Drosophila melanogaster: one gene and its partners. The protein of the gene in region 4 interacts with the protein of the main gene of each other region in a pairwise test. Each region holds a gene or a part of one and is shown on either strand. Other genes may lie near its edges. The genes, in order: Tep4, chinmo, RPA3 and indra.

Region 1 (8,162 bases), on a different chromosome or scaffold from region 4:
TTGGCTTCAAACTCCAGCGACTTGGTGCCCTGTGGGAACTCGACTGTCTGGAGGAGCAGGTCATTTTCCTCCGATGTGTTGAGCTTCTCGGTCTTTTCACGCTTTCCCTTGTTGGAAACGGTCACCTCCCACTTGGCCGCCTCGTAGCCCGACTTCTCAGCGAACTTAATGAGGGCGGTGAGGCCGACAACCGTGTCCTGGCTGGAGGCAAATCCTCCGAAGCCATTACGCTGGGCGATCAACCAGCGAACGGTGTTCAGAACAGAGTCGGCTGTCTCCTGGTCTGAATCCAGAAGGGAAAGCAGCGCATATGATGTGATCTCCACATCCTGACTCCAGATCCAACACCACCAGCGTCCGCAGTTCTTGGAGGCACGCAGCTTATCCAGATCCTCGGTCCACCAGGTGCGATCGTCCTCGTGTTTGGCCAGGGACTTAAGACTGGCCACCTGCTTGGCAGCTTCCGGCGCCTTGGCCTTTTGCAGGGCATAAATGGCAATGGATTTGGGCAGGAGCTCAATGGACTCGGCAGTATTGGCGCTCAGATAGGCAACCGCCTTGTCAATGGCAGCCTGGTTCGGTTTCTCCTCCTCCAGCAGGGCGAGCAAGGAATTTGCGGTCAATGTCAATAGAGATCGCTGGGAGCTATAGAAATACTCTCCGTGTTCCGTGAAGCTACCATTTTCTGCCTGTCGAGTTAACAGGAATTCGTAGCCCTTGGCCAGGATCTGCTCATCCAAGTCAATTATATCCTTGATCTTGCTAAACGAGCGCAGCACATAGGCCGTCAGCCAGGTGGAACCATTGCGCACTGGATCCTCCTGCCTCCATTTGGTGGGCCCAAAGGAACTGAAGCTGCCGTCGTCGTGGCGATAGTGCAACATATGTTGGTATCCGTCCTGCAGATTCCTCTTGATGCGAGTGTCCAATGCAGGTGTGAGTTTCTTGATGCTCTTCAGATAATCCCTCACCAGATAGTTGGGCACCAATTTGGACATGGTCTGCTCACCGCAACCGCTGGGCAATCGCAACAGGTTCTCAAGGTTCTTGACCACTGGTCCCAAGAGATCACCCACCAATCCGAATTCCACACGCTCGGAGTCGGGGACCACATCCTCCGGCACTTCCAGCTCGAAGGTGTTCTTAAACTCACCCGTATCCTTAAGATTGATAAAGAATGCCCTGTTCTGGTACTGGGTAATTCCTTCGGGCACTACCTTTAGCGGCTTGTGTATAGCATCTCCGGCCAGCGGTGAGATGGCCTTGAATTTCAGCAAAATATTTCCAATGACCTTGGGTCGGATCAAAAATGAGGCTCCTGCCGCTTCGTTGGCGCCCACTCTGATGTTCTGCGTACGCTTCTGGTCACCAATAACCTCATTCGAGGCATCCACGAAGTCATACTCTTGATCCTCGTTGTCCAGGGTCAGTTCCACGTCCAGTGTCTTGGGCAGGTAGTTAAAGACCAGTGCCGGTACATTGATCACCTCACCTCGCTTCACGGAGTATGGCAATCGAACGGAGACAAAGAACGGCTGGAATGTCTTGATATTTGTCTGATCATTGGTGACACCTAATCCCTTCTGGGGATGCAGTGAAAAGCCGGTGACCACCCAGTTGGTGATCGTATCGGGTATGGTCTTTACCCACTTGAACACCTCCTCCTCGGTGCTCTCGATATCGGCAAAGATCCAGGTCTCTGCGAAATTCTTTCGCACTACTGGTGCTGCAGATGCAGACGCACTTTCGGCGGAGAATCCCACGGCCTGAGTTGGTCCGCCAGCACCGGAATGGAATACATGACTATCATGTGCCACTGTAGTCTTTCTCATGGCGAAAGAGCTTCCACCAAATCCTTCTGTAACTTCCAATAATTGCAAATTAATGTGGTTTATTATTATGACAAATTTATACGTACGAATATTGTAGTCTGGGGCGGTGCGATTATAGAAGAAATAGGCATTGGTCATAGTCACGACTCCAGTTCGCTCTCCGGGGTAGTAGGAGTATCCACCCTGCCAGGGAGTTGAGGTGTCATAGCCATTTAGGCGCCAGTTGAAGGATTCCTTGTTCAAATCGTTGTTGCTGCCCAGCAGAAGGACACTCTGATCGACGGCCAACAATCCAACGAATGACTTTGGCGACGTCTTGATCTCCAGTGCAACGTCGGCACCCGGTTTAACTTCCGCGGGAGCCTTGATTTCGATCTGGTTCTGCAGCTCGACCTCCACACTGAATGTTTCCTCGGTATATCGGAACTCTCCTGTCTCATCCACGTAGTAGAAGTACACCCGACCATAGGGAGTAGTGAGGAAAGTGGGCTTAATGGTTACGTTGACGGTCGTTTGGGGTTCCGCGAGGTCCACACGTTTCGTTTCCAATATGTTTCCACGTCCCACAATGTTGTACACAAAGTATTTGAGCGGACGACTGGAGTTGAGGATTACTTGATACTCCTGCCCGATCTTGAGGCTGCAATAGAAGTATTGTATATGGTTATTTAAAATCGTGGAACCCTTGCTCAACTCAACTGTACTCACTTCCAGACGTCCTTGGGCCTCTGAACTTCTGCCCTGAACCACTCCTTTTCCTCTTCAGAGCTAGGATTTTCAATCTGTTTTGGTTCCCTGTAGGGATAAGTGGTGTACAGATCTCGTTTTTCATCGACGAACTCCAGCTCAATGCTATAGTAACGAGTAAAGTTGGCGATATCCGGCAAATCGGGAAGAACCACCTTGAAAGGCGCCACACCAGACGCATTCAAATGGCTTTCAAACACAAACGTTTTCTTCTCAATCGTTGGCAATTCCGGTTCTTGATGATCTGTTCCAAAGGCATAGAAAGCATAATTGCGTCGAATTCCTTCAGTGAACTTGGCCTAGAGTTAAAACGAATTTATAAGTAGTGACAGATCTCTTAAGATTTCTAACCCACCTTCACAACAGACTTGGTGTCTGTAATTAGTGAGCCGTCGACATATGTAATCTTGAAGTTAAGTTCATGTTCCTTGTCGGGCTTGAAGGAGAAGCAACTGGAGTAGTCAGTGCAGGACATCTCATACCGATAGGGGTACAGCTGCACACCGCCTGTTTCATTGAGCTTCACGCCGGTGAAGTCTTCCTCCACGGTAGCCGTAATCTGGGCATATGAAGAAGAGGTCTTGTGCGGCAGATAACTGGCGAAGTCCTTGAGATCCATGGTCAACTTGGCCTTGCCTCCGACCATGTCGGCGGTGCCAACAACAGAATGTCCGGGGTAGTCCGTTTGCACTGTCTTGCCGTCCACATTCTCCCAACTGCTCGTCGAGTCCAGATGGACATTGACAAGAACTTTACCATTCACGGGCTTACCATAGGTGTAGCTGGGGGATAATGCTGATATAAGAATGTCCTAAAGCATAAAACTTCCGGTAATACTTACTTGGCCTTCAGGACGACATTGAACTCGCCATCTCGCACTGAAACCTGCTGCGTGGCATCCATTTTGACGGAGTACTTGGGCAGCACGTACTTCTCCACCTCAAAGTTGACGAGCTCATCCGAGCGATGCCAGCGATGACCAAATCCTCCAAATTGTTTACGACCCCCAAAGTAAATACCTCCGTCGTGGTGCTGATCTCCATTCTGAACATGAAGGGACCAGGAGCCCAATGTGGCGAACTCGGAGAGCTCGAATTTGCCAGTGTAGACGCCACCGGTGGTCTTTATGTGTTTCTCCTGCTTGATGCGGTTCCTTTTGGAGTCCTCAAACCAAACCACCACTTCATCCTTAGCGGTATCCGGCCGCAGGTTCTCGTCCAGGAAGATCACACGATAGTTGATAGTATCACCGGGCTTGTACTTTCCCTTATCGGTCTGGATTTTAATGTATGGCTTGAAATTCTCCCAGTTCAGCTTGGTGGAGTTCTTGAACTCCAGTCCCTTGACGCCCTCCGCCGTCAGATTATATTCACCCGCCTCCAATGGGGGCAGTTTGAAGGTGATCTGCTTGAACTCACCGGCAGTGGCTAGTTCCACGGTCTCAGTTTTGTTGTAGGAGGGTCCAGTGATGCCCACTTTCAGGGTGACTGGCTCCTTGGTCTGATGGACAGCCACGGCCACATTGTAGTCACGGTGGGAGTGGATGGTTCCGGGACCCACAATGGTGTACTTGCTGGAAGCAAAGAAAACATCAACATTATTGTCATGAAAAACAAAATAAAATCAAATAACAATTCGGCCATAAAAAATTCCAAGAAGAGAAAAAAACATACACATATCCACTTGGAAATATTTGTAGTATTGTATTTGTATAATATATAGTATTGTATTTCTTGATAGTAACTATAGCTATCAATATTCAAATTATCAATATCAAATTCTTGACCATGCTCTAAGAATTCAAAAATAAATGTATATTGTCTAATCTCTAGGGAAACACAGAAATGAAACTTAAAACCATTAACCTCGACTTGATAATGTTCCCAATCTTTAAAAGGCAGTCTAAGATTCGGTTTAGGTTTTTGAGTTATGGTTTTTTTGATCTGTGACAGCAAATGATGAAATATATATGTATATATATATATAACGGATAATATTCCCAGAACCTGATCTTCTACTGAAAAGTATGAAACCGGCTTAGAGATTACATAATTCCAGCTTTTGCGATTAGCAATCTTTCTCGCACTTACAGTCCCCGATCACGTACACCAATATTGTTAGCCTGAACATCATTAACTTTTTTGGATTAGATTTGTTCCAGCCTTTTATGTTAGACTTCAAGTTTATGACATTTTTAAGTGTGTTCCATAACCCACCTTCATATTCGTTTCTAATTACTAATAATTGGCGGGACAGGAAAAAGTACAGATTTAAGATCGTGTGAAAGATTGATCAGCGAAACCATTGAGGCAAACAAAGTATGTGACGTGATCCTCTTGTTTGAGTAAAAAATATAAAAATCCATATTCAAAATGGCTTACAGTGAAACTCAATTAGCATCATAAGTTGAGCTCAACAAAAATGAAGAAAATAAAACACCCCTCAACAAGGTGAGATTAAAGTGGCGATGGCACCTTCAACTCAAAAATTAAATACCAGATATTAGTTCGGAGTAACTAAACCTCTTTAAAAAAGAAATTCTGAATATTTTTGAAGTGAGTGAATAGTTGTGATCGGACTATCGTACCAGATTTTCAATTTTATTGAATTTCCCCAAATTCACCCTTTTAGGTGCTCATCGTCACTACGTGGACAGAAGTCTAGTGTTTAATCTTATAGGTGTGATAAGGAACGATGTTTAACATTTGCTATATACATAATTATATATCTAAAAGTTAAATTACTATTTGAAAAATGTAGAGCAAAATGTTATTAGGTTAGTGATTTGTAAAAACCGTAAAAAAACTCTCCTATAAATCCAAGGACAAACCAGATGGTATAAACAATTAAGCTAATAGGTGATTTTGCGTATAAATAACAGCTTAATTACCTTGATGTTCATTAAAAACGGCCCTATCTGTATACATATATGCATACCTAATTAATTGAAATATTCGACGACAGCCATACAGTGACTGTGAATATAATAGTGGTAATAAGTAATAAACATAGATAATATAGTTTGGATTGCAGTAATCTGTGTTTAAGTGTTCGAGTGAGACGGGAATCCAACCACTAGCGTATTAGGGAAATGGTTAAAATTTTTAGCCATCAGTTTTTATTCAAATTATCAACCGAATAACCGAAGTAAGAACAATACGTTTTATAGGCCAGCTTTGTAAAGAACTATAGTTTTAGATATCTGGCTTTGATTATCGCCTATATTTTTGCGAATTCCTAACCCGACTCTACTAATACTCTAACCGTAGATGTGTTTTAAAATCGATCCGATCATATAGTATAGTATTTGTGGTATATGGACTTACCCCTCGGCTTTTACCGGTTCCATCGTCTGCAGCAAGGCCAAAATCACACAAAGCGAGACAGCAAAAGCGTCTGCGCGACGCATTTTGATTGGATTGGTGGTCAAATGAGGGCAAAAAGGATGGGAAATAAGAGCACAGATATTATAAGGCTATAATGCGCGGGATCGATGCTGGCGGAAGTTTGGTTAGCGACTGAGCGACTGCGACCGACTGGGATCAGAGCCGAGCTGGGACTGGTTCGGTTCGATGGCCCACGGATTTGTTATAATACCGAGCGACTCTAAAACCCCAGGCCCGGCAGACGAAGCCGAGCTCCAGTGGGGCGAGCAAGTCGTAAAAAAAAAAACTGATAAAAATTATAAGTAAATAAAACTGGCAGAGTGTGTGTTGTTGTGGTGTGTGTGTGTGTGTGTGTGTGTGTGGCGGTGTATGTGGTGCGCCCACTGAAATCGATGACGCGAGTTGGGCAAACAAAACCTTAACAATAATAACATGGCCACAAAAAACGCCGGCACTCCAATATCAATATTCATTCGTGAGTATTCACTTGGGCTAGTTGCCGCTGAAATATCATTCGTAATTTGATTTAAGAAGGAATTTATGGGAATTTACTGGTCAAAGGGATCAAAGATGATTATTTCTAATTATCATATTTACAAATATTACATTTGTGAGTATTCACTTGGACCAATTTCAGCTTAAAAATCATTCGTAATTTGATTTTAGAAGGAAGTTAGGGGAACATACTGTTCAAAAGAATACAATACAGGATGGATTTATGGGAATTTACTGTTCAAAAACACCAAAGATGAATGTTTCTATTTTCATCATATTTTCAAATATTGATTCGAGTATTCACTCGGGCCAGTTTCAATCATAATTGGACTAATAAATGGGAAATAGGGATTTACTGCTAAAAAATTGCAAAAAATTAATGTTTCGAATTTCACCATTTTTAGAAATGAATATATTATATGAATATTACGAATAAAGGGCGAACAAATAGGCGTGACTGTATAGAAGAACAGAAAGTTGGTATTACTGATTGCCCATGAGTGATATTTCAGTTATTTGTCACAGAACTATCGTCATGCAATAGTCAAATTATAACAACTTATTCATATTTCGTGTGGGGTTTTTCGATAATTAACACTTTAATTGTCACCAATAACTGTCGCTTCGTGTTTCGCAATGATTTGAAATATAGATTTTCCTTTTAAATAATTTACGTACATTATCTGGTTTTTGGAAAAGCCCAAATGATTTTTTGCGAAGATCTCGCGTAAAATCCCAATATATGAATTGAATACAAATATTTATGTTTTTGTCGTGTGGCAAATGACGTGCGTGCAATATTATTTGGACTTGTTGATTTGCAGTGTTAACGGAACTGCCTCCTAAATCGAAATACGGAGACCAACTGACTAGGCGTTGTGTACATATATATCGAAAACTCTTTCCTGCTCTCTCTGAGTCAGCTGTTGTTGTTTTGTTAGATGTCGCTCTCTTGATTTGCCGAATGATGACGTCACTTGGCTGTATTTCACACTGCCTTGCAAATGAAACGGGTATATAATGTAGCGATGAGTAATGCCAATATATAAGAGATATTCGCTCAACTGCGTTTCTCTTGGTGATTCCCCGTTTGTTCTTTCTCTCGTGCGGTTCGGTTCCGTGTAATCTATAAGTAGTGATATTGGGTGATATGAATACGCTGCAATCTAGGAAAGGAATTAGCTTTAAAACGCTGTAATTTCATGATTAATTAAATTGTGGTGATGTATGGTGAATTAATTTGCTTGTAACAAGTAATCTTCCTTGGCTTTCACCCAGAAAGTATACTGCCTGCAAAATACGCTCATAATAACTAACTGAATATACAAATATTTTTATGAAAAAACTATTTTTTAAAGCTATTGTAAAGCTAATACATCATATGTATATGCAGGCAGGAATAATTGAATCTTGAACCTTTTTTTGTGAACTGTATACGTAATAATATTGAAAGTTCGCAAAGCTGAACAAAATGTTTTATTATTCCAAATTCCTAGTCGGTATATTTTAAGTTTGGAGAGCCGAAAAACTGGCATCTACATACATAAATATGAGATAGTAAGGCATACATGGACATGTGTCGCGATTATGTCTATCTCTTCGGTTAATCACTAAAGTAAATGAAAATAGAAATGAATCCACAGAACTATCTATGGTACATATGTAGAGCTACTCAAACTCTGCTAATCCTCTCCTTCAAATC
Region 2 (4,796 bases), on a different chromosome or scaffold from region 4:
ACAACCCCAAAAAATATCTACACCCCTTTCCGTGCGTGAGTGTGTGAGAGAGTTTGTGTGTGTGTGTGCGTAGATACACATGTAGAAGTGACAAGCAAGCAACTTTTGCTTTTTTCTCGCGTATTAATATGCAACGCCAAGTTTTGAGTGTCATAAATCATACGCAAAGTGCGTAGACAATTTTTCTCTTGACCAAAAAATGTTTTCCTTACTTTTTGCATAAATTATAATTGTAATTAGAGGCGGAGCACTTGCCTTTTTTTTACGAGCGGTAATTGTTTGCAAATGTTTGTGGACACTTTCTAAAAAAAAAAAAAACATTTTTCATTTTACGCACTTTTTCGTGCGTGGGGAAACTTAAAAGGGCCATTAAGAAATGCGAAGAGATGTGTGAAAAAATGACAAGTTGTGAATTTTTCATAAATATAACATAACAAACTCACCTTAATATTCAATTGCAAATTTACGCATTAATCCAAATCCAGAATCCTCAGTTGTAACACCTTTCACAAGTGGTAATTTTGAATTTATAAGTTTTTCTTTTTAGTTTTTCTCACTTCACTTTTTTTTTCACTTAGGCCAAATGTTCTAGTTCTTTTTGTTGCTAATTAGTTAGGATATATACTCGAGTTGTTTTTATCAAAAATTGTTTACCAAATATTCTCCGATATAATTCGTAAGCATAGATATATGTATAGGTATATATTTTATAAATACATGTATTACGATTGGTAATTTTTTTTTTTACTTTATTCTTTATTTATTTTGTTAAATGATTTTGCTTTGCTTTTATCGAAACGAAATTTTTATGCAAACTAACACACACGTTTTATCTGCTGCTTCTGTTGCGGTTGCTTTTACTGTAGTGATCACTGTAGTAGTTGCTATGGCTGCTGTTGTTGCTGTTGTTGTTGTTGTTGTTGTGTTGCTGTGTTTAGTATTGCGTATGTCCGAACCAATAATTTTGAATAGTTTACCAATTTGGTGGCTTAAATTTTTGCGGTTTTCTGCGTTTGTTCTAAAAAGATTTCCCTCGGCTTTTCAACTGATTTTGGGCTGGTTTTTGCTGACGGTTTTGGTTTTCCTTTTGTTGCGTTAAAAATTTACATTGATTTTATTAGATTGTCATCTTAGTTGCAAATCATTTTCACGTGTGGACGTTTTGAGATAATTACAATTTGTGTATATTTTATGTATGATGTTTTGTTGCCAAAAATCGTTTTTTGTTAATTTATTTTTGTTGTATTTAATTCAAGACCAAAACTTATGTTGCCAATTTTAGAATTTTGCGTTGTTTTTCGAAATGTTTTTGTTTTCAGTTCATTTTTAGGTTGATTTGTTGCAATTTCGCGTTATTTGATTCAATTAAATTGATTTTGAATATTTAGATGGTTAAATGTTCTTGATTCGCATTTTGTAGCATTCGCTGGTTTTGAGGTCGTTGAATGTTTTTCTTGACTTTCCTAAAATTTGCTCGTTGAGACATTTTCACATTGACATTTGGCTGCAAATACAAAAGCGGTTAGAAAATTGTTATTAAAAAGTGTAAGTGGAATTTGGCTGATTGAAACTCAAATCTATTCGGGGATAATGTGACATGTTTTAAGTATTCATTTTCTTTTTAATATTATATTAATTTGTCACAGTTCACCCGAATAAATTTCATTTCATTTGTGCCCAGAATTTCTGGTTTCTTATCAGCCCGATTTCTTGTAAGTGGAATTGGATTAATGATTTTATTATCGCAGAATATATTTCATTTTCCCATTTTGGGACCGTAATTCCCACTTTGCTTCTGGCAAATGTCTTTTATTCTACTCAAAAACACTTTATATGGCATTGGGACTTGGAAATTTTGGGGAAGGGGAAACATTTTTATTTGAGCAGTGAATTGTCTAATTGTTTTAAGAACATTTACTTCAAAACTATTTTTAAGAAGTTTTCACATTTTGTAGTGTATTTCTGTAGTTGTTCAACACTTGTTCACCGTTATTCTACACTTTTCTCTCGCTTTTTTGAACAAGTGTCCTGGGGATTAATTGCATTTTGCCTTCTTTCCTGCACTTCATGCACTTTCCTCTATTCTCCCTTAATTGCTATTTCGTAGCACACACACACACACACACACACATAAACACACAGTGCAAAAAAGGGGTTCAGTTCACTGGTATTGCGCCTTGTTTATTTTCAGGGGGAGGCGGAAAACGGGGAGGGTTGTTTATTGTTCCATGTACTCCTCGCTGTTGTTGTTGTAGTTTGCTTTTGCTTATTTTTCTATTGTTGTTGCTTGATTAAAAATGCAGACGTTTTGGTTATGCATAAAAGTCTATACTTCACTTTTTCTCAGTTTGCTTTTGCTATTCGCTTCATTTTTTATGCTGCGTTTTGTACCGTTTGAAATTCGAGTTGCAAAGTCACACACACACACACATAGGCCAGAATTTCATGTGTGCGAGAAAACCAAGTACACACGCATAATTGTTCATTTTTGATTTTATGTCACTTTATTTGAGCTTTGAAACATACCACATGCACTTCAATATGATCAATATTCACTCAAAATTACCTTTGAATTACTAGGCGAACAGCCGTTTTGCAACACTCACGACGCACTCACGCACTCTTGCCACACACATGCACACTGGACAGTTAGTTTGTGCATTTGCTTTGCTCGACGAAACACAAACAAAACGTAAATAATAATTAAAAGTGTTCAATGCCGCAAACTTTTAGCACTTTTCGCTTTTTGCACTTCATCCGCTGCAGTTCTTTCAGTTCAGAAATGTAGAGAATAACTGTTTTATCAAGCGGTTTCGATTCTGTCCGTGCTTCCTCGTTTCTTAATTTACGTGTAAAACTTGAGTTGCCTGCAGTTGCCAGGGCTGACGAGCGACGAGGCGATGCGAATTTGCGACTGCGAATGCGAATGCACAAACGCTGCTGCTGCTGCGAGCACCACCGAAACAAGCAACCGCGAAACTTCAACACGTCCGTTCAACACGGCAGTTTCTTTTTGACTGCCGATTCGATTTCGATTCCAACAGGCGGCGAACGAACAAGCGTGCAGTGGTGTGCTCCGTAGAGAGAGAGAGAAAGAGAGCGCGAGCGAGCGAGCGAGCTTTTAATCCAATTGGAATGCAGGCGAGCAACTTGCAATTGTCAGATTGGACATCTCCAACAAGGATTCTTAAAAAGGATAACCGAAAATAGTCTAAAGTATAACAGAAAATAGTTTACATATTTTTTTTTAATGATTTTTAGAACACAATTTACTCAGGCGAGTAGAAGTAATGGTCGTTGCAACTGCTTTTTGCATGTCTTTTTCTGTGTGTATGCACTGCCGCCCCAGGATAAAAATTACATATATCCTCATAATCCGGGGGTGAGTCTCTCACTCTTTCTCTCACTCTCTCTTTTGCAGGCGCAATTGCATAAGGCAAAGGACATGAGGTAATTTATAGGAGCTCCGCTCAAGTGGAAAATGTTTAGGGAAATCTCGTCCCGAAATAGCAAAAGCAAACCTTAACTTGGTCTTAACCTATTCGAACAGCGGGGGATTCCATCCAGGTGGTCTCTGAATATTAGATGCAATAGAAATAGGGTTCGCAAGAGGCGATTTATATGGAAAACCACTTTAAGATCGGCACAATGAGTTAAGATGGGAATATGGGAAAAATGTTAATTGCATAGCTTTAATGCAAAAGAACGCATTACGTTTCTTTAAAATCTTGATCACTCTCAGAAAACAAAAGTAAAGGATAAAATTTTTTTAGTGGAATTCTTTGGAATTCTTTAGAAAATTCTTACAATTGGTCTTTGATTTCTAGGAAGAAAACAATAATAACCTAACTACTCAGTTCTCGCATAATTTGCATATCCCTTGAGAACTTTCCGATCAAACCATCAAAATTGGAACAAAAACCCTCAAAATGCTTTTCATTTCTCAGCCCAAAAACTTCCCCTATTCACACAAGTGTCAGGAGTCCCTTTTTTGAATGCAATTCCCATCAAAAATATCAAATTCCTAGCCAATCAAACAATAACCACTTAATTTTAGTGGAAAAAGAGTTGATAAAGTTGAATCAAACAATTACCTTATTTCTATTCATTGACAGTTCGTTAGCAACAGTATTTTTTTTTCAGTGCAGCCTTGCCAAAAACAATAACAATGCGCATTCGTTTTGCAGTGAGCGAAAGAGAGGAGAGAGCGGTAAGCTTTTTTTTGGCGCATGTTTTCCCATTCTCTCTCTCTCTCTCTCTCTCTGCTGCCATTTTATGCACACACAATGACAATGAAAGCTTGTCGGTAAAGGGGCGGGGTGTGGTAAGGGAAAACGAACAATTTACGCGATTCAAGAAACACGTGGAGTGCCGGCGTCGAAAATCCAATAAGCAAAGGCAAAAGCTCCTGCTTTTGCTGCTGCTTTTGCTTCCCCAGTCGGAAGTGGAATTATTCCGGAACGCGTTCCTTAATAATTCTTTTTCGATGCATTTTAAATTAATTTCATATATTTTTATTTTATAAAAATACCACTAGATCAAACCCTTTCCATAACGAAAAATGCAGTGCATTTTTCGGTCGAGCGCCAATAAACCTCACTCCACCTCCTAAATCCACCCCTGTGCTTCTCTTTTTGGCTCTCCATTTGCTTTTGCAGTACTGCACGCACTTTTTGGACCTACGTCTTCCCCTGCTCTTCGTCACTCAACTTTTTGCTTAGCTACACAACTTTTGTTAGCGCACTGAAAAAAAAAAACGTGGAAAAGGAAAAAGTAATAAATTAAATAATACTAGA
Region 3 (3,046 bases), on a different chromosome or scaffold from region 4:
GTCATGCACACACCATCAAGATGAAGGATCTGTCCGGTGGTCAGAAAGCCCGTGTGGCCCTCGCTGAGCTATGCTTGAGTGCGCCGGATGTACTAATTCTCGATGAGCCTACGAACAATCTGGACATCGAGAGTATCGACGCCTTGGCGGAGGCAATCAACGAGTACGAGGGTGGCGTGATCATCGTCTCCCACGACGAGCGTTTGATCCGTGAAACAGGTTGCACTCTCTACGTAATTGAGGATCAGACGATCAACGAGATTGTTGGAGAGTTCGATGACTACAGAAAGGAGGTTCTCGATTCGCTCGGCGAGGTGGTCAACAATCCTAGCGTGGTGGCCAATGCGGCTGTGCTGCAATAACCCTCAAGTTGCATACGGACTTGGAGTCCATGCAACTGGTCATCACTCGTCAGCTGGCTCGCCCTATGTTAATTGTTCAACTGTTGAATTGATTATCTGCTAGTTAGTCTTTTTATACCAACATATATACAATAACAAATTGTGGAAGTAAATGTTATTACACAAGAGCGTTTAAGAATGTGTTGTTTATGTTATTAAATTGTGGGTATTAAGTATTTGTTGTAGAATATACGTGGAACTGGTTAAAACACCCGTAAATTGTACTCGTAATATATGTAGATAGATGATTTATATTTAAAGTTAATGCCAGCTCTGAGTGTTCTCCAAAAAAATGGAAAAAATAACATTAGAGTACATAATATTAATTCTTAGATATAATTGTGGACATCCTAGCCGCTGCGATAGAAGGCCTTGACATTGTTAATCAGGTGGCTCAATCCATTATAGCCATCCTTATCGAAGTCGATGTTCTCGCCGCCAAACTCGATGACCTGCAAATGAATAGTGGGCAAATGGTTTGGGATCATTGAAATAAATGACTCCATGGATTGAGTGCACCCACCTCCTTGGCCCTGAGGGTGTCCGCACCATGGGGCACTCCAATGACCTCGACCCAGGCCCCTTCGGCGGCGCCCAGCTCACCCGGCAGATTGATCTTTAGCTTGTGGTTGTCTGTGGAACTGGCCAGCAAAGTGGATCCCGCGACGCTCTCCACGCGAACCATTATGCTCACGGTTTGGCCGGAAAACTGCTTCAGCATGCCGCCGTTGATAATCGAGCGTGGATCAAAGGCATCCATAATAACTCCTCAGTTAATAACGTTCAAAAAACAGCCAATTTCAGCAGAAAATGAAATGCCGTAAACAAGAAAGAGCGCCAATAGTTATCGAGCGTGCTAATCGATAATAAAATTGCATGACGTCTGCTATCGAAATTATTCGAATTTTGTAGCAAAAATATTTATGGATTTATTGTAACATCAAAAGTTATTACATTATTACTGTGGACTTATGTATTATAATAAGAATTAATAAAAATAATTTATAATAGAATTATAAAAAGACCTGATAGATTACATGTATTACAACAATGTTATCGACAGCGAACAAGATGTTCGAATCTTTCTGATATTTTGTCCGGTGTGAACGTGCGAATTTTAGTACGACAACCAGTTACATCGATGTATCGATAGTTTTTAGACTGGCCAATGTTTATTGTTATAAAATAAATGTTACAAATAAACAATTAATCACTTAGTATAAACAAAAATAAGTGCAAGCAGCAAGTGCGTTGTTAAAACGACCGCCGCCCTCCGAATTTCCTTATTGCGGGCATTAAATCGCAACAACAACAACGCCACCAGCAACAGCAACAACAATAAGCAGGAGATTCAGATTCGCAACGCAATCAAAACGTAAAAAAAAAACGAAAAATAAAAAACTACAAGGCGAAACGCATAAATAAATAGGGAAGCAAATAATAGTAATAATAAGACTAAAAGCAAGTGGAAAAGTACGAAAGCGAAAAGAGAAAACATATGTACGTTGCGTGAGAGTGACGTGTGTGTGTGTGTGTCAGTGAGCGAAGGAGAGTGAGCGAGAGAGGGGAGGCGAGCAAAAACAAAAACAACAGCACAGCATAAGCGAGACCTTGAAAACTTTAAAAGCAGCAAAAAAAACAAGACAACAGCCAAAAATAAGAAACTAAAAGCTGCAAAAGTAATAAAAAATATATTTTAGCCGAAAAATTTCCATAATAACAATTCTAGAAGTGCGGAGCGTACACCCTGTTATGGAGAGTGACGATTTTCATTTACCGCAAGGCGCCAATTAAAGGGGAAAATCCATAAATCGAGGATTACAAGTGGAAAACAAGGAGGCAGTAACTCCAGAAAACGCCCAAAAAGTCCAAAATGGCAGCACCAGAGACGGGCAACACGGGCTCCACAGGATCCGCTGGCTCGACAGGATCGGGATCGGGATCGGGATCGGGAAGTGGGAGCTCCTCAGATCCAGCGAATGGACGGGAGGCCCGTAACCTTGCCGAAAAACAGCGACGGGATAAGCTTAATGCCAGCATCCAGGAGCTGGCCACCATGGTACCACATGCAGCCGAATCCTCCCGTCGCCTGGACAAAACCGCCGTCCTTAGATTCGCCACCCATGGCCTGAGACTTCAGTATGTCTTTGGCAAGTCCGCTTCCAGACGTCGCAAGAAAACCGGCCTCAAGGGAACGGGTATGTCTGCCTCACCTGTCGGAGATCTACCCAATCCCAGTCTGCATCTAACGGACACTCTAATGCAACTGCTGGACTGCTGCTTCCTCACCCTAACCTGCAGTGGCCAAATCGTTTTGGTATCCACCAGCGTGGAGCAGCTATTGGGTCACTGTCAGTCCGATTTGTATGGCCAGAATCTACTGCAGATCACGCATCCCGATGATCAGGATCTGTTAAGACAGCAGCTAATACCCAGGGATATAGAGACCCTGTTCTATCAGCATCAGCACCACCAGCAGCAGGGGCACAATCCCCAGCAGCACTCCACTTCCACGTCGGCCTCAACTTCGGGCAGTGATCTGGAGGAGGAGGAAATGGAGACGGAGGAACACCGTCTGGGTCGGCAGCAGGGAGAGGCGGACGATGACGAGGATCACCCGTACAACCGACGAACACCCAGCCCGC
Region 4 (5,347 bases):
AGGCGCCGGCTAAGGACAACGGAAACGCAGCCACAGCCAAGTGCCCGTTCCTGCAGAAAACGGTCCAAATGTTCGACTACGCCGACGAGGAGCAGCCGACGCCGCAGCACTCGGTGCTCATTGAGGATGTGGAAAACCTGTTCTGCGGTCTCTACCAGCACGCCTGTCACAGTCGGGGCATCTACGAGAAGGCCAACCAGCTGGGCAAGACGCTGGCGGAGGACCTGATCAAGCGCGGCGCCCTCGACGTGATGAAGGTGGCCCAGGCAGAGATTCACGGCAAAGTGGCGTCGTCTTGAGCCCGTCATCAATATCATCGTTTACATTAAGTAGAAAAGTGTAACTAGACAAAATGTTTTTCATTTCCGCCTCGTTGTTGAACTCCCGTGGAGAACTCATGCTTCCCCTGATTTAACATCGGTATTGTATTCAATCCTTCTGCTCTCCCCGGCGAATGCATCGTTAATGGTTGGTTTCCGCGTAAACGTTATTTTAGTTTTGTTTTTGTTTCGGGAATATGACAAATAAATGTATAAGTGAACTCATATTGTGTCATTTTTTCTCTCCACTGATTGAAACAAGCAATTTCGTAGCTTTTTGCCATTTTTTATTAACAGTTCATCGCTCAGTACAAATATGTTTATTACATTCAAGCTAATTTATATACTCTTGGTGAGTACAAGTGGTGTAACCAATGCGGTTATAATAAAGTCTTAATATACAAATTAAACTTATCTTTTGAATTGAACTTAATAATAGTTAAAAATGTATGAAGTAACCTTGTTATAAATTGCAGTTTTCATCGACTTTTATCAACTTTATATAGACCCTTTCAAAGTTAGCCATTGAAAATTCAAAGAATTATACTTAACATAGCAATAAGCTAACGTAAAACTACATTGGTCAAGAGAATGAAATGAAAAACAAAAATAAAAGGGAGTCTAGTGCAACTAGTGGCGCTTGCGCAGGTGCGAGGATAGGAAGTTGGCCTCCGTGAAGACCTTCTTGCAATTGGCTACGCCGCATGGAAGTCCACCTTCGGAACCACAGTTCGAGAAGTGAGCCACGTAATCCATTTGGTTCTGGTAGACTTCCTTGCATAGGGTGCACTGTAGTTTGGCGGCGTGCTTTTTCTCCATGTGCGAGTCCAAGCGTTGACGCGATTTGACGAACTTCCCGCACCGGTCGCAGCTGAGGGTCGACTCGTCGGCTGTTGAGTCACCAATGGACTCCAGGCGAGCCTTTTTGTGCGGCCGCACGTTGTAGTTGATTTCTTCCACTATGTCTACATCAGATGAGGGGAGCGTGTCCTCAGATTTGTCTTGTTTTTTTCGTTTTTCTGACTTTGCAGGCGAATTGCCATTGGTTGTGGACACAGACAGATCTACGTGACTGGTCTTCTTTGTCTTTTTAGCTGGCGACCGAGGTGCAATCATGCCTCCATCGACCTGGTGCTGAATGTTGTTCCTGGATCGTATAATCTTTTCTTCTGCGGGTCCTTCATCATCCTCCGCGGTGTTGTCAGTCTTAAAAGCGTCCACAATTTCCACAACCTCATCCTCTTCTTGCAGAATCTTTCGGTTGGTGAACTTTGCGGCTTTAGTAGGGCTTTGTTGTGATTTCTTAGGTCCTTCAACCTTCTCGGCCGTGTTTTCAATCTGAGTCGTACCCAGAATGTCTACGTCCTCATCCTCGTCCTGCAGAATCTTTCGCTTGCTGGAGTTCGGCGCTTCAGCACCGTCGGCATGTAGAGTCATGTGCGTTTTCAGCGACTGTTTGGTAGCCAAACTCTTCTCGCAGACGTGGCACTTGAAAACCTTTGGCTTGTCGATGCTGTGGACGGTCTTCATGTGCTCCTGCATCTGCTTGGCGGTCATCAGCTCACAGTCGCAGATCTCGCACTGAAAATTATTCGAATCCGCCCTGGGAGTGGAGGCGCTGGATCCATTGATGGCAAATGTATATTCCGAGTCGATCACGTTCTCTAACATCCTTTTCTTCATTAATGACTCATTTAGCGCTTTAAAGGAGGCGATTTTGGTAGCCTGGGTCTGGTCTGCGTCCTCACTATCTGTGCCCTTTTTGTTGTTCACTTGGTCGTCGATTTCGTCAACCACTTTGGTTTCAACATTACATTTGATCTCTGTCTTTTTCTCTTTGGACTTTTTTTCTTTTGGCTTCTTCCTTTGACTCACAGCATTGGTCTCCTTTGCCTTTGCGTCAATTTTATTCTTGGCCCCTGACTTAGCCTCTTTTTCCTTGCTTTCCTTCGCCTTAGTCTTAGCCTCGCTTTCAAAAGTGCGTGAGTGAGTGTCCCTTAAATGATTTTTCAAAGTCTTAAGCACTCCAAAAGTCTTAATACACAAGGTACAGGGGTATATGCGTGGTCTTTGAAGACCGTGCTCCTTCTGCAGATGCTCCTTGTACGGTTTGGGAAACTTTGCGTGAAATTCGCACTCTGGACACTGAAAGTTATTTGTGTTAATGGTGATAGGACCTTTATCCGAGTCCTCCTCTTCCTCGCTCTCGGTCAGTACTTCGATGGCATCGTTGCCGCCGTTGCCAAAGAGATTAAGGAAAGCCTTTTTAGTAGACGACACCTCTTTGGCGGGCGTCAGCTTAACCGAATCGTTAAGATTATCCTCGAAGAGTCGAGATATCTGCTTTTTAGGGGTCTTATCGAGTTTCTTGGGCGAAGCACTAATGATCTCGATTTCTGTATTAGTATTAGCTCCATTCACAAAGCTTGGCGGGAAAGCTGCTATGGACTTGCTGCGCTGACGGAGGGTGGTGTTCTTTTTTGGCACCTTAACCGCCTTCTTATCGCTTTCCTGTGTCGATGGCTCCTCTATTTCCGCTACCTTAGTCTTCTTGGCGGGCTGCTCCTGTACCCTGTCCACCGTCTCGCGGACCTTCTCGATTAGTGCCGCGCTGGACATGAATGTGGAGGTGCAGACGAAGCATATCTTGATGGGCAAGGATGATGGGATCTGAAATGGGATGGGATGATTTAGATGACGAGAAGGGAAATCAGAATGCCGCCATTTCCAACTCACGCTTCTGTGGGTGATGGTCTCCAGTACGTCTGTTATTTTCCTGCCCAGGAACACCTTCTGACCTGAAAAAACACTCTTGGACCCTTGGCTTGTGCCGCAATGGTCGCATCGCACCTCTTTTTGCACCTTGGTCATATTTTCACTAAGTTTTCCAGCAAAAACAAAAACAGAAATCAAACAACGTGCGCACGTTTTTTTTTTTGCGGGGCTACAGTTACCAAACACTGCTATCTATGTTAATCAACTGCAGTGCTGCCAGACCGAGTCACCAAAATATACCACATAGTGTGCTTATATATTATGGTTGCACGTTAAAAGAAGCAACTGCAGAACGTTCGCAGAACGAATCTTAATCTTAATAATTTTTGCATCAAATTTAGAAAGAGTGTAGAAAACAGTTTTTAAACTACCTATAATGGCAGTAGCAACTTTAAAAAATATTACCAAAGCAGTATATTGCGCATTCCGGTCACACTAAGTTACATTAACATTCTGTTAATGCTCACGTCGCGTTATGCAACAGCTTTGCGTGTCGATATATAATCGATAACTCTGAACTTGGTTTCCAATTTAAAAATAGTTTATTTAGGCATTAGAAGCTACAGTAATGCAAAATGATATGTTTAGTTTGTTTCTTTGTGTTGGTGCTGACCTGGATGGGCTGTGCCGTTACTTTGTCTTGGATTTTTTGAGTCGGTTCCCGCGCCTGCAAACAAAGAGATGAAAAATGTTATGAATGACAAGGACATGGCAAGGGAATGCGCCAGGATCAAGCGGTTCGCAGTTTTCATGTCTTAAACGTATAGCTTTATTTGAATACTTTCTCTGCTCCTCCTTTCTCTTTCTCTCATAGGCATAATATTGTATAGTACTGTGTTGTGTTGGATTTGTTTCAGTGTACGGTTGGTGTACTTAGCCGACGTTTAGTTAACTAGGCATTACTAGGTATTGTTCATGTTGTTTCTGTTAAATATACTTAATATAAATATGTATTTCCTTTATTTGTTATCCTCCTGGGCCCATCCGATTTCATATGGATTCATAGTGCCTCGCTTTCGGGGGTGGTTACTTGAATTTTGTTAAAGTGTGGGTTACACATATAAAAAATATTTGCGTCCTCTCACGCTACACGTTTATATAAATATGTTTCTTGGGATTGGGACTGCACACTTACTCTACTGGAAAAACCATTGAATAGTCTTTCGCCTTCTTCGTTCTCTCGTTCTAATACAAAATGGTTTCGCTATGGCAAAACCTGGATTATAATTAAATCATACACCTATACTTCGCTTAGCGACTTAGTAAACCGATTTTAGTTTAATTTGATTTGCAACTAGCCACGTGCAACTAGTCCACGGTCACAATTTGAAAAAAGAATCACTTTATTTTGATTTCAGATCGATCGGGGGCGAGTGTGCGAAATGAACAATTTTGATTATAACACTCCTTAAAAGCGTTAAACGAGATATAGGTGTACATCGAGCTGTTTTGTTTAACCGTAAGTTATTGCTTTAATGGCGCTGAATTTCGATTCATTAATAAAGTGCTCGTTTAAGGGGGGACAGGGTCTTTAATTTTAAACACAACAATTCAAAGTTAGTGGTAGTGGTAGGCGGGAGGCAAAGTAAAATTAAGAGTCGTTTAGGACACTTCGTACAATTCTCCGATTCGGTTCTTTTTGGCACATTGCTGCACTTTATATTTTGCCATGTACTACAACAAGTGGTGGTTTCTCATAATCTTCATAAATAAATATACATAGGTCGTATGCTATAAGAAATTGCTGTACAACAACAAGTGAAGCGTGTAGTGGGTGGTTGTCGGGTGCTTGAAACATTGGTAGTTATGATATTCTTAATATTTTAAGCATAGCGAGCAAGTAGGGTGAGCTTTGCATTTGGTATGGCTCGTTTGGGGCATCTGGTCGGTTATCAATCCATTTTTAGAGTGTAGAAAATAAATTTGATCTAAAATGTCAGTCTATTGCGCAAAATCTACATTTGACGTGATTTCTACCCGATTTTCGTTAGTTTAGTTTAGTTGCTTCTTTTCTTTCATTTGTTTCTTTTGTTTTCCTTCTTGTATTTCGTATATAAAAAATTCCCTAATATTTATGCATCTTGTATCGTTCGTTCAGCTCAATCAATCCGCCATCCGCAATTCGTGTGCGATTGCATGGCGTTGCGATGCGATTCCGTCCGATCTCTGATCCTTTCCGATCCGTTGCACGTCGTCCTTGATTCGTTGCCCGCATTAGATGCCGGGTCAGGCGGACGAGCAGGTGGGGATCG

The links.
Region 1: the proteins of indra (region 4) and Tep4 interact in a two-hybrid assay, tested with the Drosophila melanogaster proteins (one large-scale study listed by BioGRID).
Region 2: the proteins of indra (region 4) and chinmo interact in a two-hybrid assay, tested with the Drosophila melanogaster proteins (one large-scale study listed by BioGRID).
Region 3: the proteins of indra (region 4) and RPA3 interact in a two-hybrid assay, tested with the Drosophila melanogaster proteins (one large-scale study listed by BioGRID).

Annotation. Positions count from the first base shown.
Region 1 is NT_033779.5:19,547,672-19,555,833, reverse strand, and holds the start of Tep4 (Thioester-containing protein 4), read right to left. Parts: upstream 6,142-8,162; 5' UTR 5,989-6,141; coding exon 5,906-5,988; intron 4,153-5,905; coding exon 3,421-4,152; intron 3,362-3,420; coding exon 2,935-3,361; intron 2,879-2,934; coding exon 2,541-2,878; intron 2,473-2,540; coding exon 1,919-2,472; intron 1,865-1,918; coding exon 1-1,864.
Region 2 is NT_033779.5:1,649,483-1,654,278, reverse strand, and holds the start of chinmo (chronologically inappropriate morphogenesis), read right to left. Parts: upstream 3,022-4,796; 5' UTR 2,567-3,021; intron 1,505-2,566; 5' UTR 444-1,504; intron 1-443. UniProt on the Drosophila melanogaster protein: Required for morphological differentiation of postmitotic neurons during postembryonic brain development. Ensures production of appropriate neuron subtypes within a lineage by preventing precocious generation of late neuronal types of that lineage.
Region 3 is NC_004354.4:11,614,594-11,617,639, forward strand, and holds RPA3 (replication protein A3), read right to left. Parts: upstream 1,248-3,046; 5' UTR 1,162-1,247; coding exon 925-1,161; intron 854-924; coding exon 752-853; 3' UTR 504-751; downstream 1-503. Other genes in the region: CG1703 (uncharacterized protein), read left to right, coding at 1-362; Met (Methoprene-tolerant), read left to right, coding at 2,275-3,046.
Region 4 is NT_037436.4:1,338,872-1,344,218, forward strand, and holds indra (indra), read right to left. Parts: upstream 3,533-5,347; 5' UTR 3,521-3,532; coding exon 3,501-3,520; exon of another isoform or gene 3,199-3,500; coding exon 3,057-3,198; intron 2,991-3,056; coding exon 951-2,990; 3' UTR 589-950; downstream 1-588. Other genes in the region: Hmbs (hydroxymethylbilane synthase), read left to right, coding at 1-299. UniProt on the Drosophila melanogaster protein: Required for rDNA copy number maintenance and non-random sister chromatid segregation (NRSS) following unequal sister chromatid exchange. Binds ribosomal DNA (rDNA) preferentially binding to intergenic spacers (IGS) regions on both X and Y chromosomes.